Saccharomyces cerevisiae S288C: one gene and its partners. The gene in region 2 interacts genetically with the main gene of each other region. Each region holds a gene or a part of one and is shown on either strand. Other genes may lie near its edges.

The links. Genes that interact genetically often act in the same process or in processes that back each other up.
Region 1: mutations in NMD2 (region 2) and ATG32 together harm fitness more than expected from each alone (negative genetic interaction), as found in Saccharomyces cerevisiae (2 studies listed by BioGRID).
Region 3: mutations in NMD2 (region 2) and TIF1 together harm fitness more than expected from each alone (negative genetic interaction), as found in Saccharomyces cerevisiae (3 studies listed by BioGRID).

The regions. Positions count from the first base shown.
Region 1 is NC_001141.2:71,525-77,313, forward strand, and holds ATG32 (mitophagy protein ATG32), read right to left. Parts: upstream 4,250-5,789; coding exon 2,660-4,249; downstream 1-2,659. Other genes in the region: SLN1 (histidine kinase), read right to left, coding at 1-1,929; pantoate--beta-alanine ligase PAN6, read right to left, coding at 4,830-5,759. UniProt on the Saccharomyces cerevisiae protein: Mitophagy-specific receptor that recruits the autophagic machinery to mitochondria and regulates selective degradation of mitochondria.
Region 2 is NC_001140.6:250,089-260,118, forward strand, and holds NMD2 (Nmd2p), read right to left. Parts: upstream 5,669-10,030; coding exon 5,663-5,668; intron 5,550-5,662; coding exon 2,286-5,549; downstream 1-2,285. Other genes in the region: type 2C protein phosphatase PTC7, read left to right, coding at 1,013-1,067, 1,161-2,137; YHR078W (uncharacterized protein), read left to right, coding at 6,272-7,930; bifunctional endoribonuclease/protein kinase IRE1, read right to left, coding at 8,156-10,030. UniProt on the Saccharomyces cerevisiae protein: Involved in nonsense-mediated decay of mRNAs containing premature stop codons. It interacts, via its C-terminus, with NAM7/UPF1.
Region 3 is NC_001143.9:553,281-558,833, reverse strand, and holds TIF1 (translation initiation factor eIF4A), read right to left. Parts: upstream 3,848-5,553; coding exon 2,660-3,847; downstream 1-2,659. Other genes in the region: mannosyltransferase KTR2, read right to left, coding at 1-1,157; UTP30 (Utp30p), read right to left, coding at 1,492-2,316; glycogenin glucosyltransferase GLG1, read right to left, coding at 4,214-5,553.

The DNA.
Region 1 (5,789 bases), on a different chromosome or scaffold from region 2:
GGTAATGCAAAAATCTCTTTTCTCCAGTTTCGTTCTTTGAAGAACGTTTTTGGAAAAAGTTAACAATTCCGTTAGAATATGAAGCAAAAGCTCACCTGATCTAAAAATGAGTTTTAAACTATTTCTTATTTTGTTAACATCGGTTTCTTCCATTGAAATAGCCGTCATACCCAGAATACCATTTAAAGGCGTTCTCAATTCGTGCGAAATATTGGCAATAAAGACGGTTTTTGCTTCATTTGCGGCCTCTGCCTCAATCTTGGCAGCTTCGAGTTGTTTTGTCCTCGCCCTAACTCTTTCTTCTAGAAGAGCATAATGTTGGTCTAATGCGTCTGTCATAGTATTGAAGGTTTCTGTTAAATCGGAAAGTTCATCAGAAAATAGTCTTCTATAATCTGGTAGCCTAGCTTCAGTTAAATTTGCAGAAGTTGTGAGAATGTGAGATCTATTGGAACTTCTGTCAGTGTCATTATGTCTCAAGGAATGTGGTCCAAGCAAATCGTGATTTAGCGAGCCATCCATTGATATTTTAGCATCGGTGTGGTTATTCGGTATTTTGTTCTCCTCCTCTGGAGGTGACATTTTCTCATTTCCAAGGTTTATAGCGCTTTTCATGCTACTATTTGCTGAAAAAGCTGCACCACTGCCATGGCCACTGCCTCCATGGCCACTTACGCTTGTGGTGCTGCCAGCTTCAGCAGTATTAAATTGTAATAACGAAGAAGGAACAGCAAATCCAGAACTAAATCCTCTTTTGAATGAACTGGCTCTGCTTATCGTTCTTGGGGTGCTCGGTCGAAGGCCTCTCCCCTCTGTAATTAATTCAGTTGCCTTTTGTAGACGTACAATTGGTTGCACTGCCCAGTGTGCTAGAGGAAGGGTTAACAAAATGACAAAGACACCAATAGCGATGACAGTGCCGGTGATGATTTTTGCTAGTTTCGTTGCTGGAGAAAGGAAAACCGACTCAGGCTGTGAAACTATCGCGACCCAATTAACTAGGTTAAACGAACATGGTGAATAGCCTAAAGCAGTATTCCGTGTAGAAAGGATATTGGTTTGTTTCAAAGACCCTCCCTTCCCGTTTCTAAATGCGCTACTAATGAATGTATCATTTTTTATAGAAAAAACTTTTTGCGGGAGGTCTGATCGTGATCCATACGGTGGAAAGACAAAATGATACCCTGAAGCTTTGCCTTGACTATTATATACTGCAGAAATAATGGCAATTGTGGAATGTTCTAAAGCAGTTGTATCGTTGAACACACTTTTCAGACCCTCTGCCGACATTATTATAGTAATGTATCCGTAAACCCTTGAATCAGTCAAGATAATAGAAGGATTGGCAAAAATAGGTAAAGACATAGACATCAAATAGTCGGTGCTATTTAGTACTGGATCCGTCAATATACCTATAGTTTCCAGTGAAGAAGGTAGCGGTGTATCGGTGGATAATGGGAACAAACTGTCTAAAACATCTTCTGGAATTAGATCACCAGTTCCATTATTCGTAGCGTTCAAAACAGCATTAAATGAAGAATCGTAAACTTTAGCAACATAAAACAAGTTTGAAGAGCTCAAAAATTTTTGAATCACACTCAAGGAATCTACCCAATTATCTGCACTCTTGTTACCTGCAACGTAACTTGTTAGTGAGCTTTGCAGGGCGTCTCTTGATGCCAAATAGTACGCCTGGTAATATAAGTAGTTTAGAGTTTGGTCAATCTGTGATGACTTTAACTGAGCGGCAATGTACAGTCTATCGGACCTTAAATTTTTATAGTTCGAGGTAAAATAGACCCCTGTCGTTACAGCCAGAATAATCAGTGAGCCCAAAGCCACTATACTAACTAGTGCCGTTAGTTGAGTTCGGATGCCTATCCTAAACGGAGGAGTGAGTTCCAATTTTGATGGCAGGCCAAATCGCATTTGTATTGTTAAATCAAAACAAAGTAGATTATACCCAACGTGTTCTTATTTCAATTCTATGCTTATTATAATTGGATGATAGATCTATAAGATCTTCTCCACTGCTGTTACCTGTCTTTATAGAATTCGTAGTAGGAAATGGAAAACAACAAACAAGGACAGAATCAAAACTCCGGACGGAATCTGCTAAAATGTAGTGAGTTGGCTTTTGTTCGTGCTGTTTTCGATGAACTATTAATCCCAAATTTATGTAGTAATAATCACTAAAAAATGCGAAGAGGAAATATTAACGCGCGGCGCAAAAAGATCGGGTAATTTGGGCGTTTAAGTACATGAAGGTAGAATATTTCAAATATGATGTCAAAGGCGATAATAGTAACTTCTAAATGCATTCACATTTACAGCGATAGTTTCCTTGAAGTCGTCGGAATACGCTCTATGCGCTATGGTTGATTTTTAATTGTTTTTTTGTGTTGAGACGCGAAAGTAAGGAATATATAAAGAAACTTAAATTTGCTAACAGAAGAAATATTTTATAAGCTGTTTGTTTATGTATTTATGAAACCAAACAAAAAATTGCCTGTATAATGAAAGAATTTTCATATTTGATAAGCTTCTATGTAATTAAGGAAAGGAACCAAACGGGGAATATAGATACGCAGTGAGAGAAACAGAAGTGATAGTAAAAAAGTGAGTAGGAACGTGTATGTTTGTGTATATTGGAAAAAGGTTACAATAGAATATAACCCAGTGCCAAAATCCGATTAGATTCATCAATGGAAAATTCAGAGCTTTTATTAAGGTTCTCCAAAAATTTTAAAGGTTTAGAAAGAGCATGCAAGACAAAAGTATTCATTTTGCCCCAAGTCTCCTTGATTATGGTAAGACTTTTCATAATGAATCCATCGGAGTGGAAGTTTATCTGAAGCGTACCCTTATCAAACCATAAAAACTGCTCAGTTGAAGAAGGAGATGCAGTGGCGGGCGTATTGATTGTGTCGCTAGAGGAATCTAAGGAAAGTAAAGAGGCCAATATGGAGGGCCGCAAACTTAAAGACTTAACTGTTTGGTGTTCGTATGCTGCAGTGACAAAGTATGTCACACAACATCCAAAACTAATTCCTATAGTAATTGAAATGCCCCAAGTGAACCAGCTCGTGAAGAACTTCTGCTTCTTTCTCTTGGGTTTTTTATTCGATTTAGGGGATTTCTTTTTTGAGTTTTCGGCTTTTTTGTTACGACAATAGGACCGAGACTTTGTATGTATAGCTTCGTCATCATTATCTTCCTCATTCACATCTTCTCCGTATTCCAAGGATAAATCTTGTAATCTTTGAAACATTTTTTTCAAATCTCTTTTGTTGGTCACAACAACTGGAGGAAACAATAATTTAACAAGTTTATTCCTTAAGAATGACTTCAGGACGTTTTTCACTTGGATGACTTGCCCAGGCTGGCAGATCGGTATTACAGGCTTGCCTTGAGAATATTGAACGATCCTGTTTAGCAGAGATACCATCTCTCTCAGCTCCTGAAAAATTATGACAATCCCCGTATATTGCGGGAATGTTGCGGAATCGTGATATTTGGGTAATTCAAAAAGAGATTGGTATTCTTTTGGTATTGATTGATAAAAGCTGGAACCAGTCCTTCCCAGTATTAGAAGGCGAAAAACTGGATTCTTTTGTGTTAGTGATAGTTTGGGCATAACAAAAGAGTTTGTCGAAGAAGTCAAGCTTTTTGTTATCGTCACACTATCTTCCTCAAAAGCCTCATCTTCATCACCATCATCATCTTGCTCGTTAAAAGGAGTTTTTTCCTTACCAGGCAAGGGCAGCGATATTATCTTCTGTAACTGTTTAAAGGGATGAGACGGTGAAACGACATTTGCTCCTTCTTGTCCTTGTTTAATAATATTTATTATATCAGCAGCAGGCGCTTGAAGCAGCTCTTGTTCTTCTTCAGAAGTATCACTAGATGATAGAATACTTCCATTAGTCGTTTGAGAAGAGCACCTTTCTGGGATGAAAGAAGCGCCCAAGTCCAAAGGCTGAATGGCTTGCCACGATCCTGATATACTATCGTTTACATTGTGGTTGCCGGATATGTCAATGGACGTAACCAAGTTCTGTCCCATTGGCGAAGGCGAATGCCCTGTCTTACTCAACAATTCCAATACTGATAGATGAGGGTCAAGTAAGCCTTTGTCTTCCCCAGTTTGTGCTTCAGAGCATGTGTGAATAGTCGTTGACGAGGAATCAGGTGGCATGCTTTTAGATGAGGATCCTTTACCTTCCCTTTGTTGGTATTCCAAAACCATATGTTTACTGTTCCTGGCAGATTTTTTTTGCTTTTGTGATTAGGACTTCAATATTGCTTATCGATAAGAGAAGTCACAACTGATAAGAAAAATTGTCAAAAACGAGAAATGGGCTTTGTAAGAAAATATTTCAACAATAACCCAAAAATATAGATTTTAAAAGTATAATGATTATGCCTCAGGAAGCTTACTGCACCTTATTTCCTAAATAACTTTTTTATTACTTAATAGATCTGTTTCTTTTTTTTTTTTTTGTAAAAGGGGTGCGTCAAACAATAGATATATGCTCTAGACAGACGGTGATCTAAGATATTTGAGAAAGCACGAAACAAGTGCCAAACAACTTCAACTTTGCTGAAGTAGTATAAACTTTGCTTTTACTATGCAAACTGTGAAAGACGATTTGTCCTTTCCATATTTGTGTTTTGAGCGATGGGGATGTCGTCCCTTCAGCCGTCTAAAAAAAAAGTCATCAAGCGTGAAATCTATCATCCCGTTGTTGGTTTAAAAGAATATCGTGCATACTGTATAAGAGTGGTATATACTGCAACACAGACACGGGAAGGCCCAATCACCTAGTTTAAATAACGATGTTATCTATTAGTCTGACGACCGTATCGGGTTTTTCGCGGTCAGTCACGTATACAGCACAACTAATGACTATTGGCTGCTGTTCGCTGGTGTTTTCAACATCGGAGAGTTCATCAAGAGTCTTAAAATCTGCTAAGGAAACATAGTCGATTTTGAAATCGTGGGAATCAACGTAGGGTGCCCATATTTGAGTCACAGTATCGATGATTTCTGATCTGGAGAGACGTCCCCCTGGTGCTAGTCTCCTAATAGCATTTTCCGCAGCTTTCAGCCCGCGGTAAAGGTTTTCAGAGATCTTTAAAGACTCTGGACAAAGATATTTGTTTCTACTACTCAGAGCCAGTCCATTATTGTTTCTTACAATAGGCATCATTTGTAGCCTTGTATTAACAAACAGTTCGTCCACCATACACTGTAAAACAATGAACTGTTGAATGTCCTTCTGCCCAAAATAAGCCACATCCGCCATAACGATATTGAATAGTTTAGTCACGACAGTTGCCACGCCCCTAAAGAAGTTAGGTCTCGTCTTCCCCTCTAATTTTTCACTCAATCCAAGAACACTAACAAAAGGGCCTTTCTGCTCTTCTATGTCGAGCGGAATTCCCTGTGGATACATCACGTGTGCATTAGGAGCAAATAGAACATCCACCTTCAACGACTCAAGCAATTTGATGTCGTCTGGCAAAGTTCGAGGATAGTTATCTAGATCTTCCGTTGGCGCAAACTGGGAGGGATTTACAAATATACTGACCACAGTATAGGTGTTTTCCTTCACAGACTGCGAGATCAAACTAGCGTGACCCGAATGCAGGCAACCCATTGTGGGAACGAACCCAATAGTTTCTCTAAATCTAGTTTCCCTCAGCTCCTGTGTTCTCCATTGAACAACTTCTTCGACAGTATGGAAGATTTTCATCAATTCTATATGGATATGCAGTATAAAAAC
Region 2 (10,030 bases):
TTTGAAACATCCAAATTCACAAACAAACCGTTGTCATCCTGAGTTGGCGTCGGCCATTGAGCTTCCTCTATGTGTTTTAAATCTTTCATTTTAAGAAATCTAAGTAAGGAAATTGTTTCTCCACATGTGTACCGTATAAAGTTCTTGTTATGAATTAGAAGGATTATCACAAAAGCCCTCCATCAAATCTGATAATTTCATTACCCAAAGACTGTAATACCTTGGGTGTAAAGATCGTATTTTTTGATGTCTTCGTGATATTTTGCAGATCTTTCCATTTTATAAATTTCTGCAAATATCGTGCATCAGCTCATCTTGGAATTGGCACAATCTGCGTAATTTTTTTCTTGGTTCTCTTCTCCTTTTGATTTTAAGAGCGCTTTCTATTCAGTAGCAGATTTTCAGTAAATAAAGCCATCTTTCTCAAGTAAACTCATGATCATGCAGTTGTTCAAAATTACACCAATAACGATGTTATCTTTAAAACTTTCCCCAGAAAGAAGATGGCACTTTTGCACTAAATACTTCAAACTATTTAACTTTGAAGCAGGACATATTGCCGGTTATTTGACCATGCTGGCGCCGTTGACATTCATGTAAGCAGTATTAGCTTTTAAACTGCCATTAACGCACCTATACGATTGCGGCGGTGCGAAAACAGTAACTAGCACTCTTACGGCTCATTGTTTCCTCTATCCAAAGTTGCCTATATCACAATAAAATTAGAAATTAATCATTTTAATAAGCTTGCTGCCATTCAGTGACTCGCAATCTACGTTTTAAACGTAATTTAAAAATCCACTTCCACCTACATATTTTGCAACAGTCGTACGACAGAAACTGAGGCTCTATAAAATGAGATGTGCTAATTGTTCTTTCTTGGCTGGTTTCAGCTACATCTTTCTGTAATCAATCTACAAATTTACACGCGAGCTTCATTTTGACAGTAAACAAATGTAAAAGACACATGCAATAAAAGCGGTCCAGAAAACAAACGACAAAGCCACCAAAAATGTTTGCAAACGTTGGATTTAGAACTTTGAGGGTCTCGAGAGGTCCCCTTTATGGTATGTTTATTGTTTTATTCATTGGTGTGCTAATTGCTAAATTTGCGGGACAAATGCTAATCGACTCAGAGACTAACTTTTCTCATATCATAGGATCCTGCAGTCAAATCATCAGCTTTTCCAAGAGGACTTTTTACTCAAGTGCCAAGAGTGGGTATCAATCGAACAACAGTCATGGTGATGCGTATAGTTCAGGTAGCCAATCAGGCCCGTTCACCTATAAAACCGCGGTAGCTTTCCAACCAAAAGACAGAGACGATCTGATATACCAAAAACTAAAGGATTCTATTAGATCACCTACAGGAGAAGACAACTATTTTGTTACATCAAACAACGTTCACGATATTTTTGCCGGTGTCGCAGACGGTGTTGGAGGATGGGCTGAGCATGGGTATGACTCCAGCGCCATCTCAAGAGAATTGTGTAAAAAAATGGACGAAATAAGCACTGCTTTAGCAGAAAATTCATCCAAAGAAACGCTTTTAACGCCAAAGAAAATTATTGGTGCTGCATACGCAAAAATTAGGGATGAGAAAGTAGTGAAGGTTGGTGGGACAACAGCCATTGTGGCTCACTTCCCATCTAATGGAAAATTGGAAGTTGCCAACTTGGGTGATTCTTGGTGTGGAGTCTTCAGAGATTCTAAACTTGTATTCCAGACAAAGTTTCAAACTGTTGGATTTAATGCTCCTTACCAATTGTCAATCATTCCAGAAGAAATGTTGAAAGAGGCCGAAAGAAGGGGTAGCAAGTATATTTTAAACACCCCCAGAGACGCTGATGAATATAGCTTCCAATTGAAAAAAAAGGATATTATTATATTGGCTACCGATGGTGTAACCGATAATATTGCCACAGATGATATTGAGCTTTTTCTGAAGGATAACGCTGCGAGAACAAACGATGAGTTACAGCTATTATCCCAGAAGTTTGTGGACAATGTTGTCAGTTTAAGCAAGGACCCCAATTACCCCAGTGTTTTTGCGCAAGAGATTTCTAAGCTAACTGGCAAAAACTACAGCGGTGGTAAAGAAGACGATATAACTGTTGTTGTCGTGAGAGTTGACTAACACTCCGCTCTTTAATCTCCTGGAAAGCAGTGTAAATAAAAATACAGCGTCATAAACGGTACTATATAAACACGTAGCCATTTAATAGAGCCAAACATAAGTGGGCATATATAGTAAAAATTTAAAGAACTATATTCGCAAAAGAATCTCAGTCGAAAGAACGTTTTAAAACAATCTTTTTAATCTTGTTTCGCTCGGTTTTTAGTTTCTCTTCTTCTTCAAGGACATCAGAGACAAATTTCACATCCGTTGGTAATTGTAAAATTCTTGATTGTGTCTTCTTACCGCTTTTAGTCAAGAACGTAAATGCAATCTTCTTTGGCTTGGATAACTCTTCGTAGGTCTCCTTGCTTGAAGAAGGTTCTTCACTCTTTTTTAATAATAAAGGTTTTTGAACGCTGACTGGCTTCGAAATTACTGGAATTTTACTGGCAACAACCTTTTCGCTTTTCCTTGCGTCTATGGATTCTTGCATCATTTTCTGAAATTGCCTTTCCAATTCTTCTTCCGCTTTCCTTTCTTCCTCATCCTTTAGTTTTCTCTCGTACTCTTCATACATTCGTTTCATTTCAATATCTCTGTCTGCGTCAAGATCACCACCATACTCCAAATCAGAGTCGCTGTCTTCTTCTTCTTCATCATCATCATCCTCATCATCATCATCTTCATCATCATCCTCATCGCCTTCTTCTCCATCATCATCATCATCGTCATCGTCATCGTCATCATCCTCGTCATCGTCCTCATCGTCTTCATCTTCACTTTCGTCTTGCTTTGCCTGATGTTTTCCTGGCGCTGACTCTGTGTTCGGTGTACTTATCTCCGCGTCTTCATCTTCTCCTAGTAAATCGACACCATCGTCGTTTTCATCATCTTCATCCTCATCATCTTCGGTGATTGACTCGATAGGAACAGCACTCTCCTTACCGTTGTGAATGCTTGCAGAAGATCCCTTCACTCTGTCGTCTTTACTTTTTATTGCGTTTAATGATTTCAGTAAACTTTCCAACCTTGAGGCACTTTCTACCAAATTTTCTGACCTTTCAAATTTAGTGTTTCCGAAAATATTCTCATATTTTTTAAATGTGCTTGAAACTCTGAATTCTGTTTCCTTGGGTAAAGGTTGTTCTTTAATAAAAGTATAATACTCGAAAAACCTCAGCAAAAGTTTGCATTTCTTAGTAAAAGCTGCAGGGGTCCTGTTGATATTTAACAGAATTGTAGTGACTAGTTGAATCCTGAAATAATTATCCGGTGGATCTGAGTAGTTTAAATAAAATGGATTGGGTTGATTGTTGATATGACCAAACCGAATAATGTGGTAGATAGTATCTAACAAAACATCGGATTTTATCATTTCAAAGTTGAATATTTCAGTTAAGTATCTGACATTTGATATTCTATGCATGTTTTGTCCATAATCGTTAATTTCTAAGCCTCGCTCAATGTTTTCCAGTACTTGGTCTATACATCTGATGACGAAATCGCGGCGGTAACTGTATAGACCGCCTAGAACTTTTGTTAATAAGGGAATATTTTGATAGCTAATCTTATGTGGTTTTGAAAACAGAGAAAACAGCACTTTCTGAATAGCTACATCGTCCCAGTGAGCTTTCCGAACCAACTTGACAATGTGTTTGAAGTCTAGGCTACTTAGTTCACTTCTAATTAATATGCGATAAAACTGTTGTTCAGGCGTTATTGTTTTTACCGTAACATTTAATGATTTTACAGAAGGGGGATAAAGTAAAGTAATTATGTTTTCTAAGGCGCTTTTCATGTTCATGTTCAATTGCCTATCATTTTTTTTATCCTTGATTAGTTGGACCATTTTTTCCATTAATTCCTTATATTCTGGCTTATTTAGCAGAAATTTCCCTGAGTGCTCCAACAAAACCGTCAAAATTTCTACGTTATTTGGAACTTGCATATACATGATTAATGTTCTAATCTTATGAAAAATCATAAACGATGGTATTAATTGAAATTTAATCATTTCACTGAAGAAGATGATGTTTTTAACGTTAATCTTATTAGAATGTAATTGACTCCTGAAGCCATTGTCTAGGTAGTTAATAAACTCAGAAACAATTTCCGGCATATATTTGCTATTTGTTGCAATAAATCTGGAATACACTGGCAGTTTGCTCCAATCTTGTGTTTCCATGAAAAATTTCAATATTCGATTTCTTGTGGCTTTGTTGTCCAAATATGATGACCAATATCTATTTGAAAGGTCATCGATTATATCTTTACAATCTGCCATTTCCAAATCCGTAAAGAATAGATTGATATTTTTTGAGTTAACGTTTGAATCTTTTTCTGTTTTAGAAGATTGTGATTCTTCTACTGTTTTTGAGATATCTGGTAAGATTTCATAAAATTTCCTTGTATCTTCATTTTCCCATAATCGTTGGTTGGGTGGCAATATCTGATTCGTGATCATTGGAGAAGCTGTTTCTTTCAGATCATCATTAGAGGCACCTTCAAGCTCCGGAATTTCTAACTTAAAAAATTCTCCCAAAGTAATTGCAGATGTCTTGAACCTAATGAATATTGGAAGTAACTTGTCGTACTCCTCTACGTACTCATCTCTCAATTTTCCCGTTCTTATTTGGCATTTCTGATGTTCTCTTTGCAGTTTATTGACCTTCTTATGCAGTTCTGTGGCCCTCGCAAAAGTGGCGTCTATAAAATTCTTAAACAGAGACTGTAACGCACCTTTTAACTTCGAGTCATATATTAAATCATCCCAAGAATTATCATCGTCGCGAAACAAAGGTGCAAATTTCTTAATAAATGCGGTCGCAATAGTGGTAGTAAAGCCCAATTTGAACTTATAATTAAGAATCTCTCTGAGAATACTGAATAACAACGGATCCTTTCGCCCAGTTTTCTTCTGTAGGAAGTTTGGAATAGCATCTTTCGACTCAATATCATCCAATGTTCTAAAAACTCCAACTAAATAAAGCTCGGTAAATACCCGAAGATTACCTTTAACTCTGGTTATCCTTTGAAGCTCATCTCTTTCGGATTCAATGTCAACAGAGGGGTTCTCAAAAGCTTGTAAAAAAGCTCCTAAAAGCGGACTAGTAAATCGGCCATTGAACCTTTGATGAAGTCCACTTATGATCTCAACAGCGGCAATTACGTCATCATTTTTATTCAAAACATTTAGCAGACATTCTGTTACCGTCACTATTATCTCTGATAGGTACTTTTCCAAGGACGCCTCACTTAAATCTTTCAATAATGAAGATTCTGAACCTTTCACAAAACCCTTCTTTAGTTTTTTTATAAAGCCAGTGTTTCTCTTTATACTGGAATCCAGTTTTTTACTTTTCAGGGGAAAGACTTCTTCGCCATTCCAAGCTCGGGTGTTCAAATCATGCAATTCTTTTTTCCGTCCATCCTGTTGATACATAATTGTTACCGTAGTTTACAACGATCAATAAAAGAAGTTAGTATAAAACCTTAGAAGTACTGAAAGGCCGATCTGGCCACAGTAAGATAAATCAAACATACGTCCATAATTTCTGTCCAATGTATTATCAATGCAGATACAATATTAGATTATTTAAGCATTTAAGTTGATTGTTACTGTTCATTGTAAAGTAATATGGGCCTCATTAGTTTCTCAAACCTGTATTCGAATGCAGTTTTTCAGTGACTGCCAAGAAAGTGAAAAAAAAAAAAAGAAGCAGGCTCCATCAATTCGTATCAAGTGATAATTATCACATAAATTATATAATTGTAAACCTATTAATAACCCTAATATCATCCTCATGCCCTAAGAAATATTCAATATAACCCCCTAACAATATCATAATATCCCGTAGTGATCATAGAAACGCTATATGATGGTGCATAATTAAGATAAAGGTCATTCAGGCATGAAATAATGAACTTTAGTGAACGACTTAGTCATACAGAGTCTATTTTAGCTTAACCATTCGGTTTTATTTTACAGTCTAGACTCAAACGAGTGAAAAATTGCGATATCTGCGATGACCGAGTCCTGAACAATAAAAATTGACCAGCAGGGAAAGAAAAGGAAAAGATCTCAACTCTGGCGGTTGCCTCCAGGACCTGCACTAGAAAGGACTATTGAGTGTAGACTAAGTGGTGGACGGGATGGAGGCACTTATCGTATTTATAGTGCTTTCCGTATCCGGAGCATTTGCTTACAAATGCTCCTATGAAAGGCTCTGGTTTAAAGTAGGGTCTTTGTTTGACATTATATCAACTTCCTCGAAGAAAAATGTCATTCCGTTGGCAAGCAAAATGGAAGTTGGCTCGAATGAGGATGTGTCTAGTATGGGTAATTTCATAAATAAATTCTACACAGAGTATTCTTTACCCTCACATAAGGTACTGCAATCACTGCGAGTCCTTTTTTCATTAGCAATGATGACGTATACAGTAACCATAGAGATTATTCTATGGCAGATTAAGGTTGCTGGAATGGACAAGGAAGTTACTTTCATAACGACTTGGGTGTGGCCTCTGACTGCAATCATGCTATCCTTCATACTAATTTTATTTCAGCCCTTTTTCATTATAATATCGTTACTGAATAAATTCTACAATGACAAGTTCGATATCGATAGGTTGATAATAGTGACATGCATAATCTTGTCCACACTTATTGCGCTGTTAAGTTACATAAATATTGGACCGTTCCAGTACACAAAAAATATTCTAACTAGATTGTCCATCGGAGGCGTCACAGTCATGGCTTCCCTATCTGGGTTAGCCACTGTTTCTAGTTTATACTACAACTTTTTAGTCATCTGGCACAAGTTTCGTAATACACCAATGTCAGACCCCAGTTTTAGAAACATCAACAACAGCAACAATAACAGTAAATCTCTCTTATGGACAACAGACGCCTATATAGAGGAAAAAATCCAAGATTATGAACACAACATTGAACAAAATGTACAAATATTAAGAAGTTTAGAAGAAGAGGTCGGAGAAAACTCAACTTTTAAAGCAGAGTTGATGGAAAAAATCGCCTGGTATCAACTGGAGCTTGGGAAATTGGAAGCATTATTACAACAGTCCCCTCAGGTACGCACTTTTAAGAAAGCTTTTGAAGTCGGGTTTATCATATACTGTCTTCATAAACTAATAATAACTTTCCTGAAAAGAATCCCCTATATCATATACCACTCGCTCAAATATCCAGATGACTACGATTATGAAAATTTTAGTGAAAATGCAGCATCCGATCCTTTAGCCATTACGATAGCAAATATTTTGGATTTTTCGTTTTTCAGGTTCAATTACCAGCACGATCTCGATTCGTTAACAAAACAGATATCGTTATTTTTGTCAATTTCTCTCTTTCTTTGCTGTCTTTCTGCTGTCAATACCACCATCTCCTACGTTGTGACCCTTTTGCCCATAAAGTTCCAGATTCTTGCACTTTTCGCCATGCAGAATGATGACACTGCTAATGTACTTCCAGAGTACACCAATAACTCTTCCTATAAGGGAAAAAAGAGAAACTATTCTCAGGAACAAAAAGGAATATCTTTGATAAAAAATCTGGTGGTGTCAGAGTTGACTGGCGTCTACGTTTTGGCTACAACGCTAATGGTTAGGTCCCATCTCCCTTTTGAAGTATCACAAAGATTAAAGGAGCTATTGGGTGGAAAGTTTACCGTCCCAAACATTGTCATAGATTCTTGGTTTGATGAAGTCTACGCTTTTGCATGTGTGTTTACCTTTATTTGCATAAGAATTGCAGAACGAAAGCTTTCCACCAAAAAAGTCAGTGTTGAATAACTGGAGTAGTATGTCGATGTTCGATGTTTATGAGATATGTATTTATAAAATTAAATGTCTGTCGGGTAGTTTATGTAGGGATGAGAAAAGTAGTATAGGTTCATGAAGAAGTACAACTTTTTTTCATTTATGCAAGGGCGTAAAAATTATGGATGGTTACTACTAATGATCAAAGTAACATTAATGCAATAATCAACCAAGAAGAAGCAGAGGGGCATGAACATGTTATGAATACAAAAATTCACGTAAAATTTGATCGTCACTTAAATTTTCCTTGACAATCATATAAACACCTATTAATAGGTTTGGAAAACGCTTGGTGAAGTAATCGTAAAATCCATCGGGTACCGGCCCCATTAGTTCTGCTATATCTTCAGGTAAATCCATAAAATGATGATATTTATTCCTAAGTGCTCTTAATAGATCCATTAACTTTGATGAATGGTATTTTCTGTACCTTTCAAGGTTGTCCATGAATGTTTTATCAAACTTGACAGTCCAATCTCCACTGGGTATTACAAAGTCAGAACCGGCGTCAAATTTCATTAACAGGGCACTTGGAGGGTCTCTGTTTTCAATTTCAAGCCTATCACTAACTTTTAAAAGGAACTCCAATTTTTTCGACTTTGGCCAAAACAACGGATGCCTTAGAACTTTCATAGCAGTAGGTCTTTTTAACGGATCGTGATCAATCATTTGGGAGATCAGATCTGTAGCTTCTGCAATTAAGGATCTATCATGTAGACATTTCATTTCATCAAGACTGAATATTCCTCTTATGATATTGCTTTCACGTGAATATTTATCTCCAAATGGATGCTTCCCTTTGGATAGGATATAATAGAATACACATCCCATAGAAAAAATATCAATAGATCTTGTTAGCCTCCTCTTGGTGAACGGATCATAAAAAGAATCAGATGAAACTACTGTATGCCTACTAGAAGAGTGTTCCGTTTCGACTTGGCACTGCAAATTGTTTGATTCTTCAAGCAGCTCTGGGGCCCTCCAACCACTTGTGCCAGAAGGGTTATTCAAATTTGTTCTAAATGAAGACTGACCAGAGTCTAGTTTTTTGCAAAGACCAAAGTCTGATATCAAAATTCGAAGATTTTCTGCTCCTGTTTGCTGATCGGCAGTAAACCTACTCGAAGTAGAAACGAGAATATTTTGAGGCTTTAAATCTCGATGGATAATCTTTAAAGAATGTAAATGTGCTACCCCGGACGCTATTTGTCTCAATAACGAAATTGGATTATACTCTTTCTGTAATTTCAGGTTTTCATCTGATACATTCTTAGACTCCACCAAATCTTGAAGGTTCAAATTGCAGAGCTCTAAAGCAATATACAAAAATCTGTCTGTTGTTTCTGAACAGTAGTATCGTATGACGTTAGGGTGATCATCGCTTTCAGTCAAAAGTTTTATTTCCATTAAAGCTATGTCACAAAAATCAATTAACATTCTCTTTACCGCAACAGGTCTTCCTTGAAAACTTCCCTGAAAAACTACTGTTCCTGATGAACCGTAACCTAAAATTTTTTCGGATACTACCAAATTTTTTAAAGATTGCTCAAAGTTTGGTATATTTGCAATGCGTGATTTTCGGCCCTTTTTGCCTCCTCTCGAACCTCTTTTCCTCTTCTTCTTTTCTGTGGTTAAATCTAGTGATTTTTCATCATCTTCATCAGCATCATCGTTATCTTTTTCAGATTTTAGACTTCCATCGTTCACAGCACCTTCAAAAACAACTTGCTTCCCTGATTTCATATCGAATGGCTTGGTTACATTTTCCGATGAAGAGGGACAATTTAGCGATTTCGACTCAACTATGGGGATTTCCTTTTCAGGCATAAATCCAATTTTGGATAATAATACATATAGTGGCGGCAAAATTTTGAATCTTTGTAGTATTGCACAAAAAATGAGAAATAACAACAGAAATACTCCAGTCTCTATAATTCGATATACTAGACTTCCAAACTTCAGTAGCAAAGAATTTTGGTTCTTTTCATCTAATTCTCTCGATATTTGCTCGTGTATCTTTTTTCTATATGCCTCAAGGTCTTCTGGTGACATGTATTCCTTTAGTGAATTCAT
Region 3 (5,553 bases), on a different chromosome or scaffold from region 2:
AGTCTCAGGTAGTATGCAGATGGACACGTGCCAAAAGGCATATGCTTATAGCCTAATTCATCAAAATGGATGATTTCGTCTTTTTTCAAAAGAAGTGAGGCAGCAATCGAATGAACTGGTGCATCTCCCCACCTTTCATAGTAAAAACCGCCCTTTGAATCCAAGTACTCGAAAAATCTAATGTATTTCTCACTTCTGAAAAAGTTCAAATCGCCAATTTCAAAATTTGTCCAAAAATGACATAAATTATAGCCGCTGTTACTATCGATGACACCAAAAGATTTACCGATGAAGTCGAAATTTGATACGAACCCGAAAGCGTTGCTTTCCATGTCAATATCTGCTGACTCTGTTTCTTCGAGATATTCTTCTACAGCTTCCCATAGGCTCGGAATTGTATCTTCGTATTCATACATAGTTATCACAAAGCCATATTTCTTATTGTTCTGCCTCATCACCTTGAATGGATCGTAGGGAAAATCGCAAAAATACTCTACATCTGGCTCAACTCTGAAATAAAAATCGTACGGATCTAATATCTTTTGTCTAAAGAAAAATCCAGAATTAAATCGGCACATATTTCTATATGACTTTGACCCACCGTACAAGATATTTTTTTCCTCCATTAATTGTAAAGCCTCTTCAAATAGAGTTTCGTTGATCCAAGATGGCCTGTTCCAGTCCTCCGCAGGGATTAAAGCGTATTGCGTTCTACCACTAGCCATGGCTGTGGTGGCTTCGATGAACTCTTGATCAAATGGGACATCATTAAGAAATGTCCAGTCATACTGGTAGTTTTTATTGAAACGGTCTTCTAGTGATCTCATGGAACGGAGTGCCCCCGAAAGTTCCCAATTACGCACAAGCATTAACAATGTAGCATTTTCTCTTTGATTTTTTATTCCCTTGGTCTTGTTTAGTGGTTCATCATTATAAGTGTTGCTAGATAGCTTCAGCGTCTGATTCATATGTCGCCTCCTTGTAAAATCATATCTCGATGAAACTTCTCGAGATCTTCTAAAAAAATACGAATCTAGGCTCAGCTGTCTCTGATATGGTACAAGTGCAAGCCAACATGTTTGAGCTATCAAGCAAAATAGAAGACTAACAAAAAGTAGTTTTTTAACCTGTGTAAGAAATACCTTGCAGATTTGCATGAAGCTCCTACGCTTTTAAATAAACAACTATTGTATAGAAAAAACGCAAAAAAAGCGTTGCATGTATAGGTGTCACATACCTGAAGAGATATAAAGAATCAAGAATATCATCAGACAGGCAAATGGTGGCTTATTATGTTTATTCTATTTTTATAGGGTGTCTGTTCTTTTTTTTTTCTTTTTTTTTTTCGCTTACTAAATTTCTATAATCTTGCAAATTCTTGAAAGGAATTAAAGTTTAAAACACTTTATTAATGCTATAATTAGTTAGACAAAATCACGCTTTTTCATTGGGAGTGTTTAAATACCGTATTTAAAAGATGATGCTTTAATTTTACAATTTAATATCACTCAGATCTTCATTTTTCTGATTTTCTCTAGCCTCTGAAAACTGATATATAGGCAAACTAGTACTGTTACTGGTCTTGACAAATATAGATATTATTCCTCCTTTAATGACGCCGCCTTGCGGTCTCTTACTTTTATCAGTGAGAAAGTTTATTGTATCTTGGATGTTTTGCAAAATTTCTGGTATGGAGTGTTTTTGAATATAACCGACCCTGACGCTTAAGCAGTTGTCATTATTGGGAATGTATGAGGTATTCTTACATATACTTCTCAATTGTGCTCTCACGTAAATGGGGTCACATTTTTCGACCATTTGTTGACGCTTCAATTTTACTTCTTTCGACATGCGGATCATGTATGGCAATTTTTTACTACCGTGATAAAATCTGCTACCAAGAACCTCCGGAAGTAAGTGGTGAACTCTGTAATCGGCAACGACCAAGTCAAAATCTTTATAAAGTTGGGTCAGTTTACTCCCTTTGAATCTACGTCTCAAGTTCTTGACACTTATAATTTCCTTGAATAATTCCGACGTATGCTCGTCTTTCGTCAAAGTTTCTCTATACAAGGCAGAGGGATCCTTGGTAATGAGTAATATGTTTAGGTCCCTTGGTTTAAATAGCTTGTACTTTGTTAATGGAATAATACGGGGGATGTTGTCCCTGTTTATGCCCATTTTTTTGCCCGTGTTGATGATTATGTGTATGTCCTTATCATTTTTTAAAGATGGGTTCTCTTCACATTGTAAAATTAGAGCCTTTAGTGCTTTCTCTGCCAGCCCACTTTTTATAATATCATTTGACTCAACCATCCCAAACCTCGAGATATAGCGTTTGATGTACACTTTTTCTTTTCAGCTCCAATCTCTATTAGTAGGGCATCGATTTTTTTTTTTTTCCTTTTATATATATTATTTTTTATAAATTTGAAAAATTTCAGATAGATACGTTCGGATATATACAAAAAGACAAAGCAAACAATTAGTATAGGGTATTTCAACCTTCGTGCCGAGAGTCTTTTGGACTTTGAAGAATAATAGGAATGTAAAAAGAAAAACAAATTAAATACAAAAAGCATATATAACTTTTTAGAAATATATGTTACGTTATCAAGATAGCCTCACAAGATACTTTTTTAAGAAGTTTTTGTCTCCCTTAGTTCAACAAAGTAGCGATGTCGGATGGCAATTCTTCAATTTGAGTGGAGTAGAACTTTTCTAGTTCTCTCATAGCGCCAACGTCTTCGTTAGTAACAAAGTTGATGGCAACACCCTTTCTACCGAAACGACCACCTCTACCGATTCTGTGAATATAGTTTTCTTTGTTAGCTGGTAAGTCGTAGTTAATAACCAAAGAAACTTGTTGGACATCGATACCTCTAGCCAACAAATCAGTGGAGATCAAAATTCTGGAAGAACCACTTCTGAATTCCTTCATGATGGTGTCTCTTTCTTGTTGTGGTAAATCAGAGTAGATGGCAGAAACGGTAAATTTGTCGTTTCTTAACTTAGTGGTCAATTCTTCGACCTTTCTTCTGGTGTTACAGAAGATGACAGCTTGAGTAACGGAGATAGAGTCGTATAAATCGGTCAAACACTCGTATTTGTATTCTTCTTCTTCAACATTAACGTAGAATTGTTTGATACCTTCCAAAGTCAATTCATCCTTCTTAACCAAAATTCTAACTGGGTTTCTCATAAATTTGGTGGTAACTTCCAAGACGTCATTTGGCATGGTGGCGGACAATAGAACAACTTGAGTGGTTGGTGGAAGTAAGGTGAAAATTTGGTAGATTTGTTCCTTGAAACCAGAAGACAACATTTCATCAGCTTCATCTAAGATGAACATCTTGATCTTGTCAGTTCTGAATCTACGTCTTTGGATGTTGTCAAAAACACGACCTGGAGTACCAACGACGATTTGAGCATCTCTCAAACCTTCAGCGTCTTCAACAAAGGAAGTACCACCGATACAAGCGTGGACCTTGATGTCCATGTGGAAAGCCAAAGCCATGACAACCTTTTGGATTTGCAAAGCCAATTCTCTAGTTGGAGCCAACATCAAAGCTTGAGGAGCCTTGACAGAGGTGTCAATTCTTTGCAAAGCAGCAATGGAAAAGGTACCGGTCTTACCAGTACCAGATTGAGCTTGAGCCAAGACATCGTGACCTTCAATAATAGGCATGATGGCACGTTGTTGAATGGCAGATGGTTCTTCGAAACCGTAACCGAAAACACCTCTTAACAAGTTTTCGTCCAATTCCATATCATCGAACTTGTAGACAACCTTGTCATAGTTGGTTTGAATTTGGGATTCTTCAATATCAGTAATACCTTCAGACATCTTGTATATAATTAGAAGGAGGCCGTTTAACGAATTTGTTATAAAATAAGAAAAGAAAAGACTAGAGACCAAATAAAAAATCTACAAATGTCAGGGCTGCGTATATTCATACCTTTGTTCTGTGATGTTAGCTCAAGTTCTTAGCACATCATTCAATAGACGAGGTGAGAATGCAAAAATTTTTCAGTCACTATAAACGTTGTGAGGTGAGAAAAGATAAACAGCAAGCATCGGATGTTGTTGCTGATAAACCTTTAAAGTAAATTTCGAGTTTGAATGTATATAGAATAGTTATGCATTTTTGTATAGTCGAAAAGGTCTTTACATAGATATGTCTTTTAATTTTCCTAATATGTGCGTGGAAGTTTACTCTACTGCATACTCAAAAATATCATCAGGGAAACACCTCTCTACTTTGGATAGATAATCAGAGTCCTCCCAGTCAAATTTGAAGTTGGGCATTTCTTGTTGCGGTTGGTTGGTTTCCTCTGCTGTAAGTTTCATATCCTCCTGTTTATCTGCAACTGCACTCGTCTTCGTTTCTCCTTCGGTAGCATCTCTTGCATCGTCATCAAAAAATTCTTCTTCGTTATCGATTGCATTTGACTCGTACACGTCCGGAAGAAATTCTTCATAACCTTCCTTGTCTTTTTCTAAGTACTGTATATTGTCATCAACAGAGGTATGTGGTTCTACGTCGTCTGGTAAGTCATTAGTAGAAACACTTGGTTTTTGTATATTGTCAGTTGACCTTTTCTGTTCTGGATTTGAAGGGCTAGATTCGACACTGATATTATTTTCTTTAGAATTGCTAAAATTTTTGCCATCTGGTTGATTACTTACATTGTTATTGGAAGAAGCGGCCGTGCTTATATCATCGAGGTGGCTTTCTTCTCCAGAATTTGAAGCGTTATCTGTCGTACTATCCTCCTCTTCTGCATTTTGGTGCTCATCGCTATCAGCTTGAGTACTCACAACGCTATAAGAGCTGTTTAGTTCCTGAGTACTATTTGGAGGACTTTCTTGGTCGCGGTTTGAACTGCTATTGATTATATTGTTATCATTCTCTTTCGAATATTCTCTGCTTTCATTTACTGGCTGATTAGTCAAGTGATCTTTGTTAATAAAGGTTGTTAACCACTTGGTAAAATCCAATGGGACAGGGTTAGGAGCAGGGCTATGATCCGAGTTAGGAACAGGCTCGGCGTTCTGGTTGTCCACGTTTTCTTCCACTGTACTAATTGTGTCGATCTCTTGATTCGTAGTGGGTTCGTTCGATGGAGGGGCATCCACTGGGGTTATCGTTTCAGGAGTCTCAGTTTTATCGGAATCACTAATCTTTGGCTTCGAAACTTCGTTATTTAATTGATGTTCTTCCTTAAATTCCTCGTATACCTCATTCCATTGATCATGATACTCGTTTTTAATGAAATTCTTTTGGGACCACAATGACCATGGCTTGTGTTTCCCAATGAAATGAATCAACTTAATGCTAGGTTTAAAGTAATTCATAGCAGGTGAAGATTGGTAGCCTAAATTAGGAATAGTTACGTTATACGTAAATGATAACTGTACCCATTCTCGAGAGAAACTGTCTTTAACTAGCTCATCAGTGCAACAATTTTGATTGAAGAACTGGTTTAAAATGCCCTGGTCAGAACCATCAATTGAAGTGTTTTCAAAAATATAATTTTGTAAAACGGATG